Linked DNA regions of Caenorhabditis elegans. The protein of the gene in region 3 purifies or fractionates together with the protein of the main gene of each other region. This does not show direct contact. Each region holds a gene or a part of one and is shown on either strand. Other genes may lie near its edges.

Region 1 (3,754 bases), on a different chromosome or scaffold from region 3:
TTGAGGCAATAAAATACTGTATTGGAATAATTGAGATGAAAAAGAAACAAAAAATTGAATAGTCAAAGAGATTCAGGATATACAGATCAATCTAAAGAGCCATTTCCTCAACACGCGGAGCAGGTGCAACAGCCGGTTGCAGATATTTCTTGAGACGGCCAATCAGTTCTGGATCAGCTTTGAGTACTTCGGCGCTCTTTGTATTCTCCGACAATTCAATGATTCGATGAATAATTTGACGTTTGCGAATTTCGTATTCTGGATTATCTTCTGATTTATCGTCCAATGCCCAGTCAATGAATCTGAGAAAAAACAATTTTAATAAAAAATCTCGCATAAAAATGTCGTTAACATACCCCTGGAAAGTGATGAACTGATGAACAACTGATGGATATGTGAACAACTGTTGCCAGAAATCATAAATACAATTCTTCATCTCAGGGAACGGCTTCTTAACATTTCCAACTGCTACATGTGTCAATGCTTTTCCACCGAGACGCTCGTACCATGTTTCAGCAATTTTTTCAGTCGCTGAAATTATTAATTTTCAAACATTCCACATAACTAAATAAGCTCACTATTCTGGAAAAGGAGAGTGACGGCCTGAAGAGTTCGACACTTCAATTCCATTGTTCCCATCGTACATGCAGCACCAGCAGCTCCCAAAGTATTCTCAAGATCTTTTGAATCTGAAACAATATGATTTTTAATATCTTGCTTTTGAAAAATTTGGAAAATACCTTTGAACATATCCTCCAAAGTTTCTTTTGCCTCGACAGAGAAGCACATACTGGCAAAATGATCGAAAGCTCCAAGACGACTGACCACACTCAATTGATCGAACATTCTGATTTCGAGCATGAGACGCCGTGCAAGATCAGGGAAATATTTAAGAACTTGTGGGTAGGAACGAGCCATATAACACATGAAACGTGTTCCGTCTGTTGATAAAAATATTGTTAAATATTAATTGAATGAACTGGTAACTTACATAAATACATTTCCCCACCATCTGGAGACTCCTTCGACCATTCCATCAACTCATAAATCTAAAGGAATAACATTAAAAAAACAAATTTATTGCAAATTCAAACCTTTTTGACGATTCCCAATTCGTACAAAGCCTCTGCATTCTGTTTTCCACTAAGTGCAATATCAACGAAAGTGTCCAAAGCATCCAGTTGAGCAAGAACATCTTGAGTATCTAGAACACTTTTAAGAATCTTGTCGTAGAGCCAATGAATGCATGAAGTGTTAGATGAAATGCGAGCTCGTTCAGTAGCAATCTGAACAATTTTTCAATGAATTATCAAATTAAGAATTCAAATAATTACGGAGTAAATACGACTTCTAATGGATGAACTTTCTCTTCCATTGGCAACACTCAGCTGCGATTTGAGCTCTTCATTAATCAAGTCGTGATCCACGAGGTGTGCCATCAGACGTCCAACTTCCTCTCCAGCTTCAGCATCTGTAACTCTTCGAGCAAATGCAACTCCAATTGCAACCGATGATGACTTCAAAAGGGAAATCGCTCCTTCCTTCTCACGGACTGTGCGGACTACATGGCGAAGAATATTCGGATGTGCAGATGGAATGAATTCGAGAAGAATTATCTGTAAAAGATTGAGATATTACAATTTTTATTAGAATTTTTTTTTATTAGATTAGAATAGTCTAAAAATTGATGTCAGGTACCTGATGATCGACAAGAAGATCTTTGGTTGAAATATCTCCAATAATCAATTTTACAAGCTTGCTGGTGCTGAAGTCATCAAAATCAGCAGCGGCCACGTCATCTTCTGTTCTGAAATAATTTCATTTTGATACTATCTGATATTCATTTAACGTACTCCATTTGCTGAGCCGCTTCAATTTGCATCTTTGCAAGTTTTTCCAGAATCTCCCATCCCTTTTTCGAACTGCGTTCTGCGATGTAATCGTTTCTCCACTCCTGAAAAAAATTGGCTTAAAATTGGAAGAAATTTCAATAAAACCTACTTCGATCAGTTTTTCATGTTCTTCCAAACTAGCCATCTGGAACGAATACGGTAGGAGGTAAAAATATTAAGCAAGAAATGAAGATAAGCTGGTAGTTAAACCATCATAATTTTAAAAAAGAAAGAAAGACATATGGAAAGAGCATGGAATTTAATTGAAAGTCGGTTTTACCCGTATCAAAAAAGAAGTTAGACAGTGAATTTTCAATAAAGTACAAATGTTAGATAAGTATGTTCAAATAAATAACTTAAATTAAATGTTAAAGCTATTTAACTGGTTTATAATGTAGAAGAAGCTCTCCACTTTGCTTCCAATAGAGATGCTTGACTGTTCGCAAATCCATATCCGGCTCCAACCTCTGATCATTGCAGTACATTTCCATTTTTGTATGAATTTGATTTAGTGGAATCGAGCCAACTGTAATATCTTCAAACACCATTAATATCTTCTTATTTCTAAATACCTTACCATCATTAGTGCTGAGTATTTTTTCGTAAACATGCTCCATCACTTTCTTAACTTGAAGCATTTCAGTTGCTGACAGACGATCTCTGAAAATAGTTCAAAATTTTAATGAATGAACCCCGCGTTTTCACAAACTTTTTAGGCTGTTTGGGATTTGTCGACGGATGTGGAAGAAGATAAAATGGCATTTTATTGAATTTCGGCAGCTGATTTCGTTCGATTGCGTCTATAACCCACATGGGTGCAATTTGTGCCAGCTCATTTGCTTCGAACTCCTTCCCAGCGTCGCCAACAAGAAGACGGTAGAGCGGACGACCATTTCCTTCGCTGAAATTAGTTTTTTTAATGTTTAAAATTTGAGCCTTCAAATAATTTTACCAAATAATAAGCGGTGTGTGTTCCGGTAGAGAAATAAAATTCAGTGTTGCTTTTTGCACATCATCTGCATCAGCTGCATCAACATTTGTCATTTTACAAGGTGGCCATCGTTCGAAGAGTGATCGTAGCATCATTCCACCGTAATTCACTATAATTTCTTACAAAGGAATGAGAAAGTTTTTATTTTCGTATAATATCTTACGTTTTGTCTCTCGATCATTATCATCAAAACCTGCGTCTTTTGATGAAAGCCACGAGGAGAGAGCGTCCAGCTCGTCCAAAGTGATTTGGAGCATCTGAAATCGAATAGGGTTTTATTTTTCAAAAATTTATAAAACTTAAAACTCACTCCACTTTTTGAATCAACGACAAACCAGCTTGGAATGTATACTTGCCTAGAGTTCTCATCGACAACTTCTTCAAATATTCGCTTTCCATAATCTTTTATCTGAAATTTTATCAAAATTCAAGTAGTAACTTTTAATAATGGGGACAAACCTTTCTTGCTGCTAAAACATCATATAGCGCCACATTTCCATCCGAGTCTCGTGTCAAAACGTGTCGTTTGTCGCTCAACATGGCATGTTTCTTGATGGCAGGAGCGCCTGAATAAACAGATTAAAAATTATATCTGCATATAGTCTGTTTACCAGGAATAACGAGCTCTGGTGTGCTCTGTTGTCCTTTTTGATCCTTCACTCGGATATACTTGAATGTTACTGGAGGTGATGATGAAGCTGATACTGAGTGATTTGCATTTGAAGTTGAAGGACCATCTTCGTCTCCTCCAATCGAAAGTTGGGCTGATGGGCGGATGGACCAGCTGAAAACTGAAAGTTTATTTTTTTAATAAAATAATTCTTTTACCGCTTGATATCAGACTTCCAGGTTCCGACCCAAAGAGATACTG
Region 2 (3,754 bases), on a different chromosome or scaffold from region 3:
AAGACTACAAACTACAAGTTTGGGCGCTGCTAATTCAATTTTGGGCGCTGCTAAGACTACAAACTACAAGATTTTGGGCGCTGCTAATTCAATTTTGGGCGCTGCTTAGACCACAAACTACAAGATTTGGGCGCTGCTAATTCAATTTTGGGCGCTGCCAAGACTACAAACTACAAGATTTTGGGCGCTGCTAATTCAATTTTGGGCGCTGCTAAAACTACAAACTACAAGATTTTGGGCACTGCTAAGACTACAAACTACAAGTTTGGGCGCTGCTAATTCAATTTTGGGCGCTGCTAAGACTACAAACTACAAGATTTTGGGCGCTGCTAATTCAATTTTGGGCGCTGCCAAGACTACAAATTACAAGATTTTGGGCGCTGCTAATTCAATTTTGGGCGCTGCCAAGACTACAAACTACAAGTTTTTGGGCGCTGCTAACCCCATTTTTCTTGCAGGAAGACGCCATGACAACATATTATCGAATGAAATCTAGAAAACTGGAGCTGGAAATCAAAAAATTGGAACGAGAACTCGGCGAGGAGCAAGATGAGGCCCAAGAGCACGAAGAATAACCAATTTTTAATCTATTTTCCACAAAAGTTTATCCCGATTTCTCTTTTATTGATTTTCTGTACAATTTTCTCATCCGAAATAAATCAATTTTTTTTAATATTTCATTGAATTCAGCGGAAAATCAATAAAAAATAGAGTTTCCCGATTAATCTGATTTAAATTCCCACGCAACGACGCTCCGAAATCCCGCCAACGCGCCTTGTTTACCGTAAATCGACACTTCATTTTTCGACGAATTTCTCTGATTTCTCACCTATTTTCATGGATATTGCCCCCATTTTTCGTGAAATTTTCGATCGTAAGTGCTTAAAATGATTGAAAAATTTAATTTTTGATTTTAGAATTCAGTTCTGACAATATATATCGCTCATGGCACAAAATATCCCAGGAAATTCGAAGCGGCGATGAAAAAGAGCGCGTTTTCCGGTTGATTGTGAAGATTTCGATGCAAAAACTTGATACATATGAAGCTGGCAAGGAGGTGAGTGTGAAATTCATCAAAATTTGAAGAAAAACGTCAAAATTTTCAGGTAAATCGTGAAAATCCGCAAATTTCGGCGCAATTTCCCGATTTTCTCTTCAAATTTCTCCACGCTTTCCAATTTCTGCCGTCAGATCAGCAAACCTTTGCGAATTCCATGTTCTTGCTGAAAATAATCGATTTATTCGGTTCGGAATGCCCGAAAATTATAAATTTCTCTGAAATTTCATATATTTCGAGGCTTCTCGAGCTTGCCACTAACGTAAGTGGTGATTTTTTGCCGAAATCTTTAATTTTTGAGCTAATTTCAGGTATTATTAAAGGATTTATTCGAAAACTCGGTGAATTTATACCCAAAAGACGGGAAATTCAGGAAAATCGGCGCCCGGGACCTGCTCGACGGAGTTGTGATGTCAGAAGAGCCGGAAGATGGGAAATATAAAGAAAAATCGTTTTTAAAGATGAAAACGAAGGTTTTAATCGATTTTCTGAAGGAAAAATGAGTAAAAATTCGAATTTTCAGCTAATGGAGCTCGAGCCACGTGGAAATTCGGATTTTGAGCGGAAATATTTGGATTTTGAATCTAAAAATGTGTAAATAGTACTAAAATTTTAATAAAACGGGTTTATTTATTGATTTTATCGTCTTTTTACTGGTTTTCAGCCAGAAATCTTACTTTTTCCACTGTTTTCCTAATTTTTCAACCTTAAACTCCACACATTTTCAGCCAAAAAAATGGGTAAAGTGTCAAAATCACCCGGAAAGGGCGAAAAAAGGATCGGAAAAGTCGGCAAAAAAAATGGAAAAAGCAATGCTCCGACGGAGGGCTCCAATTCTGGAAAAGCTTCACGCTTCACAATGTCCGAAAGGAATTTGGGATTGATGCAAGAAATTATTCGAAAAGATCCGGAATCCTATAAAGAGGTGCGAAATTCGAGAAAAAACGAGAAAATTCGCGAATTTTGGGTTAAAATTGAGTAAAAAACGACGAAAAATTCGATTTTGGGCGCTGCTAAGACTACAAACTACAAGATTTTGGGCGCTGCTAAGACTACAAACTACAAGATTTTGGGCGCTGCTAATTCAATTTTGGGCGCTGCTAAGACTACAAACTACAAGATTTTGGGCGCTGCTAAGACTACAAACTACAAGTTTTTGGGCGCTGCTAACACCAAATTTTGCCAATTTTCTGCTAAAACATCACTTTTTTCAAATAAAAATTAAAAATACATACATTTTTCGACTACAAACTACACTTTTTCATGAAATTTATCGATTTTAGCTCTAATTTATTAATTTTTTGCAGGAATTCCTCGAACAATTCAACTATTTCGTTCAAACAATGAAACTTCTCCACTTGCAACCCGAACAATCTCGTCAAGAAATGCAATCTCTCGTCGATTCGGTGCTTTTTCTGTCCGGATTGGCGAAACATTACCCGAAAGAGTCGAAACAATTCTCCGATAGTCTTTTTGAGCTTTTGAGAGAGCAAGGAGCTGGTTTGGATCCAGAAGTATGTGGAAAACCGAGGAAAAATGCGAAAAATTGATAGAAAGACAGGAATTTTCATCGAAAATGCGCCCTAAATCGATTTTTTCTTCATAGAGTGCTCAATATTTTGGGAAAAATTCGGAATTTCTGCCGAATACTTAGATTTTGGCTCAAAAATTCAGAAAATACTGCGTTTTTTCACTAAAAATTGCGAAATTGTTTCAAATTTCCGAAAAAAGGAAGCAAACATTCAAAAAACCAGAGAAAATTAAAAATTTCTTTATAAATTTCTTTTATTCTGAAAATTTCCAGAAAAATCAATAAATTTTTAGTAGAAATCAATGAAATTTCTGAAAAATCGATAAATTTTCAGAAAAGTCGATACATTTTTAGAAAAATGAATGAAATTCGAGAAAAATCGATAAAATTCCAAAAGAATCGATAAAATTCAAGAAAAATCGATAATTTTACTGAAAAAACGATAAATTTAAATCTATAAAAATCAGGAAAAATCATAAAAATTCGAAAAAATCAATAAATTTTCAGAAAAATCAATAATGTTTCAGAAAATTCGATACATTTCCAGAAAAATCAATAAAATTTTAGAAAAATCAATAAATTCCCAAAAAAATCGATAAATTTTCAGAAAAATCAATAATTTACATTTTTGGAATTTTCCGAAATTTTTTGGCCAAAAATTGAACAATTTCAATGTTTTTCTAATTAAAGATCCAATTTAAAGCGAATTTCCGCATTTACTGTTGGAAAATTTCGATTTTTTCACCGAAAAAGTGCCAAAATACCAGAAAATCCAGTTAAAAATTCAATTTTTTCACCTTAAAGGTGGTGTAGTCGAATTATTTTTATCGCCTTATTAGACTCAAAATTGTCTAAAAACACCGAATTAATGAAACTTCTTGAAAACTTTTTAGAAAAAAGTTATGATGACTCAAAAAATGGTCTAAAATTCGTTAAAATCGGAAATTTGACTTGTCAAGCGGCTGAAAACTATTTTTTTTGAAATTACCGTCAAATTTTGAGTATACAAGTTGATTATCTTGTGTTTTCAACTTGATTAAGGTATTTAAAAGCAGATGGACAGCGAGATTTTCAATTGTTTTAAACAAAAACTCGCCGTCCATCGACTTTTAAATACCTTAATCAAGTTCAAAACGCAAGATAATCAACTTGTGAACTTAAAATTT
Region 3 (3,754 bases):
CATTTGTTTCCCGTTACCTCTATCTTACAACTTGTTCCATAAAATTGTTTCTTCAAAAGCTAGTAATACACATTGAGCACGTATACGTTTACTATCAAACCGAAGAGTGAAAGGATGAAATCGATCGACAGTATTAATAAATTAATGATAAAACCGGAGAAGGTGCACGAAAAAGAAGAAATTGGGGAGGGCGAACATCAATAAGAAAAATACACATGATGGCGGAATTATACACAAAAAAGTGGTTAAATTTATGCCCGTGGGGCCGCGAGATCCAAGTTCTTGTGAACCATTTGCTCTTTCAGAATGAGATGGGAAACTTTGTTCAATGTATCCGTCAGTTTGTGCACGTTGCTCGCCCATACATCCAATTGCTCAACATTTGCCTTTTTCAAACGAAGATTGACAATACGGGAAGGGCGATGAAGTTTTGCTCCGGTGATCTGACCGGTAACAATGAGGTTACACACAAATGATTCCATTTCATCAACTGGGAAGTCGAGGAGCTCAGCGAGACGTTCGAAAGTGATTTGAGTATAGTACTTGGCAATCATACGCATGTTCTGTAAAAATACAAATAAAAATTTATAAATTTTAACAGGTTTTTAACTTATTAAAATTTTAACTTACGTGCTCTCCAACACGAAGGTGCAAATCAGACCACCGCTTCTCTCCTTCAGTTGATTTGTCGAAAATTCCGGTGTCTGGTGAGCTAGTTGTTCCACGTCTTAAAAGCTTCTCGTACTTTGCGACAATGGTTCCTTTGAAAGAAATGAGTTCTTGGTTGATGAAAAGATCCAGAATGATCTGAAAAGAAAACAATAATTAGATTAAATTCAAATCGCACAGCTTACCTTGTAGTCTGGAACGGTTTCCAATTCTCTTTGAATGGCAATTCGGTTGAGGAGATCCCATTGCTCGTTTGTGTGCGGAGCCAAAAGACAGTAGACAATGGCAGAACGAAGATGTGAGGTCGCCTTGGCTGAATCAGCTTTAATCTTTTTCGTCTCATAAATTTCACGATGATGACGGCACACGTCCAGATAGTTTCCATCGTGAAGTCCGATACGGATCATCGAATCGTAGTATTTCAGCTTCAGGTTCTGTACTTCATCTTCGTCTGACTTGTTGAAGAACTTGATATTGATTTTCTTAGAGATAATAGTGGCTCGCACAAAATCATTACGAACGAGAGAATATCTCATTTGCTCGAGAAGGTATTGCACCTTCTCTCGCATTTCCATGGAGCCATATGTTTCCACTTGAAGTTCAAGAAGCATGGTTGCAGCTTCGTCAAGCTTTCCCTCTCTCTCCAACTTCTTCACAACCATCGAGGTGAGGCGAGCACGTTCCACTTCCACATAGATCTTTCCAGCTGTAACAGTGCGAAGAGTTTCAATAAGCTTCATCTTGAGGTCCTCGGTTGGCATTTTGTCAATCATTGCGACAGCATCACGGACCATCTTTGCGATAGCCATTTTGATGAGAAGTCTTTTCTTTGAAAGCGTCATGATTGTTTCCATAAGAAGATCCCATTTCTGCCCTTCGAAACAAAGCTTCGTCTGCAAATATCAGAATTAATATTTTTTTTTTAATTTGAAAAGTATTATCACCATATATTGAACAACGCGTGTATTGCTCTTCATGTCAGCTCCAAGACGAGTGAGCTTTTCGATGTTGTTCAGACTCTCTACAGCAGCAACAGCGTCCTTTTGAGCGATATCTCGGGCTTTCAGAAGTGCTTCGTCGACTTGTTTCGAGTAGTCCTGCTCCATTTTGAACAAACGACCATCTCCACCCTGAAAATCATTTAATGAAATCTACAGATAAATTCTCGAAAACGTTTTAAAACTTACATGAGCGGCCAAATGAGCCAAATTGTCAAGTTCGCTTAGTTCTCCGACATCGACCGGGTCAACCGGGATCGGTTCGCGTCTGTCGGCCATATCTGGAATAACAATAATTAGAATATATAGTTCTGCTTTTTTAATTGAAAAATAACTTCAAAACCTATAAAAATATTACTTTTAAATGCACAAAAATTTTAAAGGTAGAGAGTAGAAAATAATTATTTCTTGAGTGACAATCCGCACAGCTGAAACGAGTGTTACCGTACCTCAAATCGCGGTAAGACCCAGGAGGAGGAAGACAAAAATATTTGAAAACGATTTTTCGAGCGTTTTGTCTTCATCATCAGAAATTTACCGCATTTTCAATGTTTGCCTCATTTTAAAACTATTGCTTCTCTCATTGTGATCATTTGAACATACTTATTCTTCCAGTTTTTGCTCTTTTATCATGTTTTCTCAGGAATTTTCTAATCTATGATCTCTTTGACGTTAACAATCTATTGTTTATCTCATGCTATTTTCAGATGTTCTATGCACAGTTCGTTCTCGCCAAAAAGGGACCGTTGGCAAAAGTGTGGCTGGCAGCTCACTGGGAAAAAAAGCTGACAAAGGCGCAAATCTTCGAAACAGATGTTCCCCAAGCGATCGAGGAAGTCATTCGCCCCAAGGTTAAAATGGCGCTCCGAACAGTTGGACATCTTCTCCTTGGAATCGTGAGAATCTACTCGAAGAAGACACGATATCTTCTGGCTGATACAAATGAAGCGTATCAAAAGGTAATTAAAGATAATTTAGAACGACAAAAACAAAGTAAATTTTCAGATGAAGATTAACTTCCGCAACGGATTCAGTTTTGAAGTCGACATTCCAGAGAATGCAGAAATTGAAGAGGATTTCTCAAACTTCATTGATAAGTACAATATCACAGTGCCCGAGTTCCACGATGCCGACTACAATGAGCAGCTCATTATGGTGCGTTGTATTAAAAGCAATTCACATTCAATTTAATCGCTGTTTCAGGCTAATGTGAGCCGTCGTGAAGACATCACCATGAAAGAAACCGTCAATTTCAATGTCGAGTTCAACATTGACGCAGATTTCGATGGGTTCGGTGACGAAGGAGAATCTTGGCAACTCGATCATCTCTACGGATCGGTGGAACCTTTGTCTTTGCGCCCCACTCCTCAGCCAGAATCGTTGATGGAAGTCGAACGAGATCGTGATGTGGCTGCAAATGGAACGGAAATTTCCCGTATAGATGCGGATAGTGTGATTTTCTCCGAAGGACCAACACGTCCAAATCTTATTTTTGACAATCAGGAAGGCGGAAATTTCATGCCTGAAATGAACCTGAAGGTTGAGAATCAAACACTGGAAAACGATGGTGGTGTTGGGCCTGCTGATATGTTCAGCTCAATGATTCATCCCGTCAGAGAGCATGCTGTCGCAGATGTTCAAAACGACGATGGTATGGACTTTGACTATCAACCGTTCGAGCCTGAAAACGTTGAGCCATCGAGACCACAAAGTCCCGAGTCATTTGCCCTGGAGCCTCTAGATGTGGAGCACATGGAAGGACGGAAAAAACGTCAGAGAAAAGCGAGAAAGCTGATTGTCGATGCTGAAACTATGATTTCAAACGACGCTTTCCGAGAGCAACAAGAAGACTTCTCCGATACGATGCGAGTAGTTGAAATGGCGCCTCCTACCAGAAAGATGTTCAATTTATGCGTCAGCGGAGATCTTCAACACCTCAGCCGTGAACCTGGATGCAAAATGTTCAACAGAGAACTCCTTCAAAGATACAGGAGATGTTTGGTCACCCGAGAGTTCGATCTCAATTACACCATGCAAGAGTTGAGCGATAGTTCGAGTTTCACTCCGTCAATGGAAGCTCAAGCTGA

The links.
Region 1: the proteins of rpn-5 (region 3) and F35G12.12 fractionate together in Caenorhabditis elegans (co-fractionation; one large-scale study listed by BioGRID). This does not show direct contact.
Region 2: the proteins of rpn-5 (region 3) and pro-3 fractionate together in Caenorhabditis elegans (co-fractionation; one large-scale study listed by BioGRID). This does not show direct contact.

The regions. Positions count from the first base shown.
Region 1 is NC_003281.10:4,580,078-4,583,831, reverse strand, and holds the start of F35G12.12 (26S proteasome non-ATPase regulatory subunit 5), read right to left. Parts: upstream 2,038-3,754; coding exon 2,002-2,037; intron 1,955-2,001; coding exon 1,854-1,954; intron 1,808-1,853; coding exon 1,699-1,807; intron 1,617-1,698; coding exon 1,335-1,616; intron 1,287-1,334; coding exon 1,095-1,286; intron 1,050-1,094; coding exon 992-1,049; intron 942-991; coding exon 741-941; intron 690-740; coding exon 579-689; intron 532-578; coding exon 357-531; intron 303-356; coding exon 92-302; 3' UTR 1-91. Other genes in the region: wdr-48 (WD repeat-containing protein 48 homolog), read right to left, coding at 2,267-2,552, 2,602-2,793, 2,845-2,992, 3,047-3,140, 3,194-3,292, 3,343-3,449, 3,495-3,667, 3,712-3,754.
Region 2 is NC_003283.11:19,116,444-19,120,197, reverse strand, and holds the start of pro-3 (Protein SDA1 homolog), read left to right. Parts: upstream 1-1,785; 5' UTR 1,786-1,793; coding exon 1,794-1,982; intron 1,983-2,364; coding exon 2,365-2,571; intron 2,572-3,754. Other genes in the region: bed-1 (BED-type domain-containing protein), read left to right, coding at 459-575; Y39B6A.13 (RsbRD_N domain-containing protein), read left to right, coding at 838-874, 918-1,057, 1,107-1,319, 1,369-1,530, 1,581-1,655. UniProt on the Caenorhabditis elegans protein: Required for 60S pre-ribosomal subunits export to the cytoplasm. Required for normal somatic gonad development and for regulation of germline development and proliferation.
Region 3 is NC_003280.10:4,696,347-4,700,100, forward strand, and holds rpn-5 (PCI domain-containing protein), read right to left. Parts: upstream 1,949-3,754; 5' UTR 1,947-1,948; coding exon 1,857-1,946; intron 1,800-1,856; coding exon 1,614-1,799; intron 1,563-1,613; coding exon 855-1,562; intron 808-854; coding exon 631-807; intron 564-630; coding exon 252-563; 3' UTR 75-251; downstream 1-74. Other genes in the region: scc-1 (Sister chromatid cohesion protein 1), read left to right, coding at 2,375-2,626, 2,673-2,822, 2,871-3,754.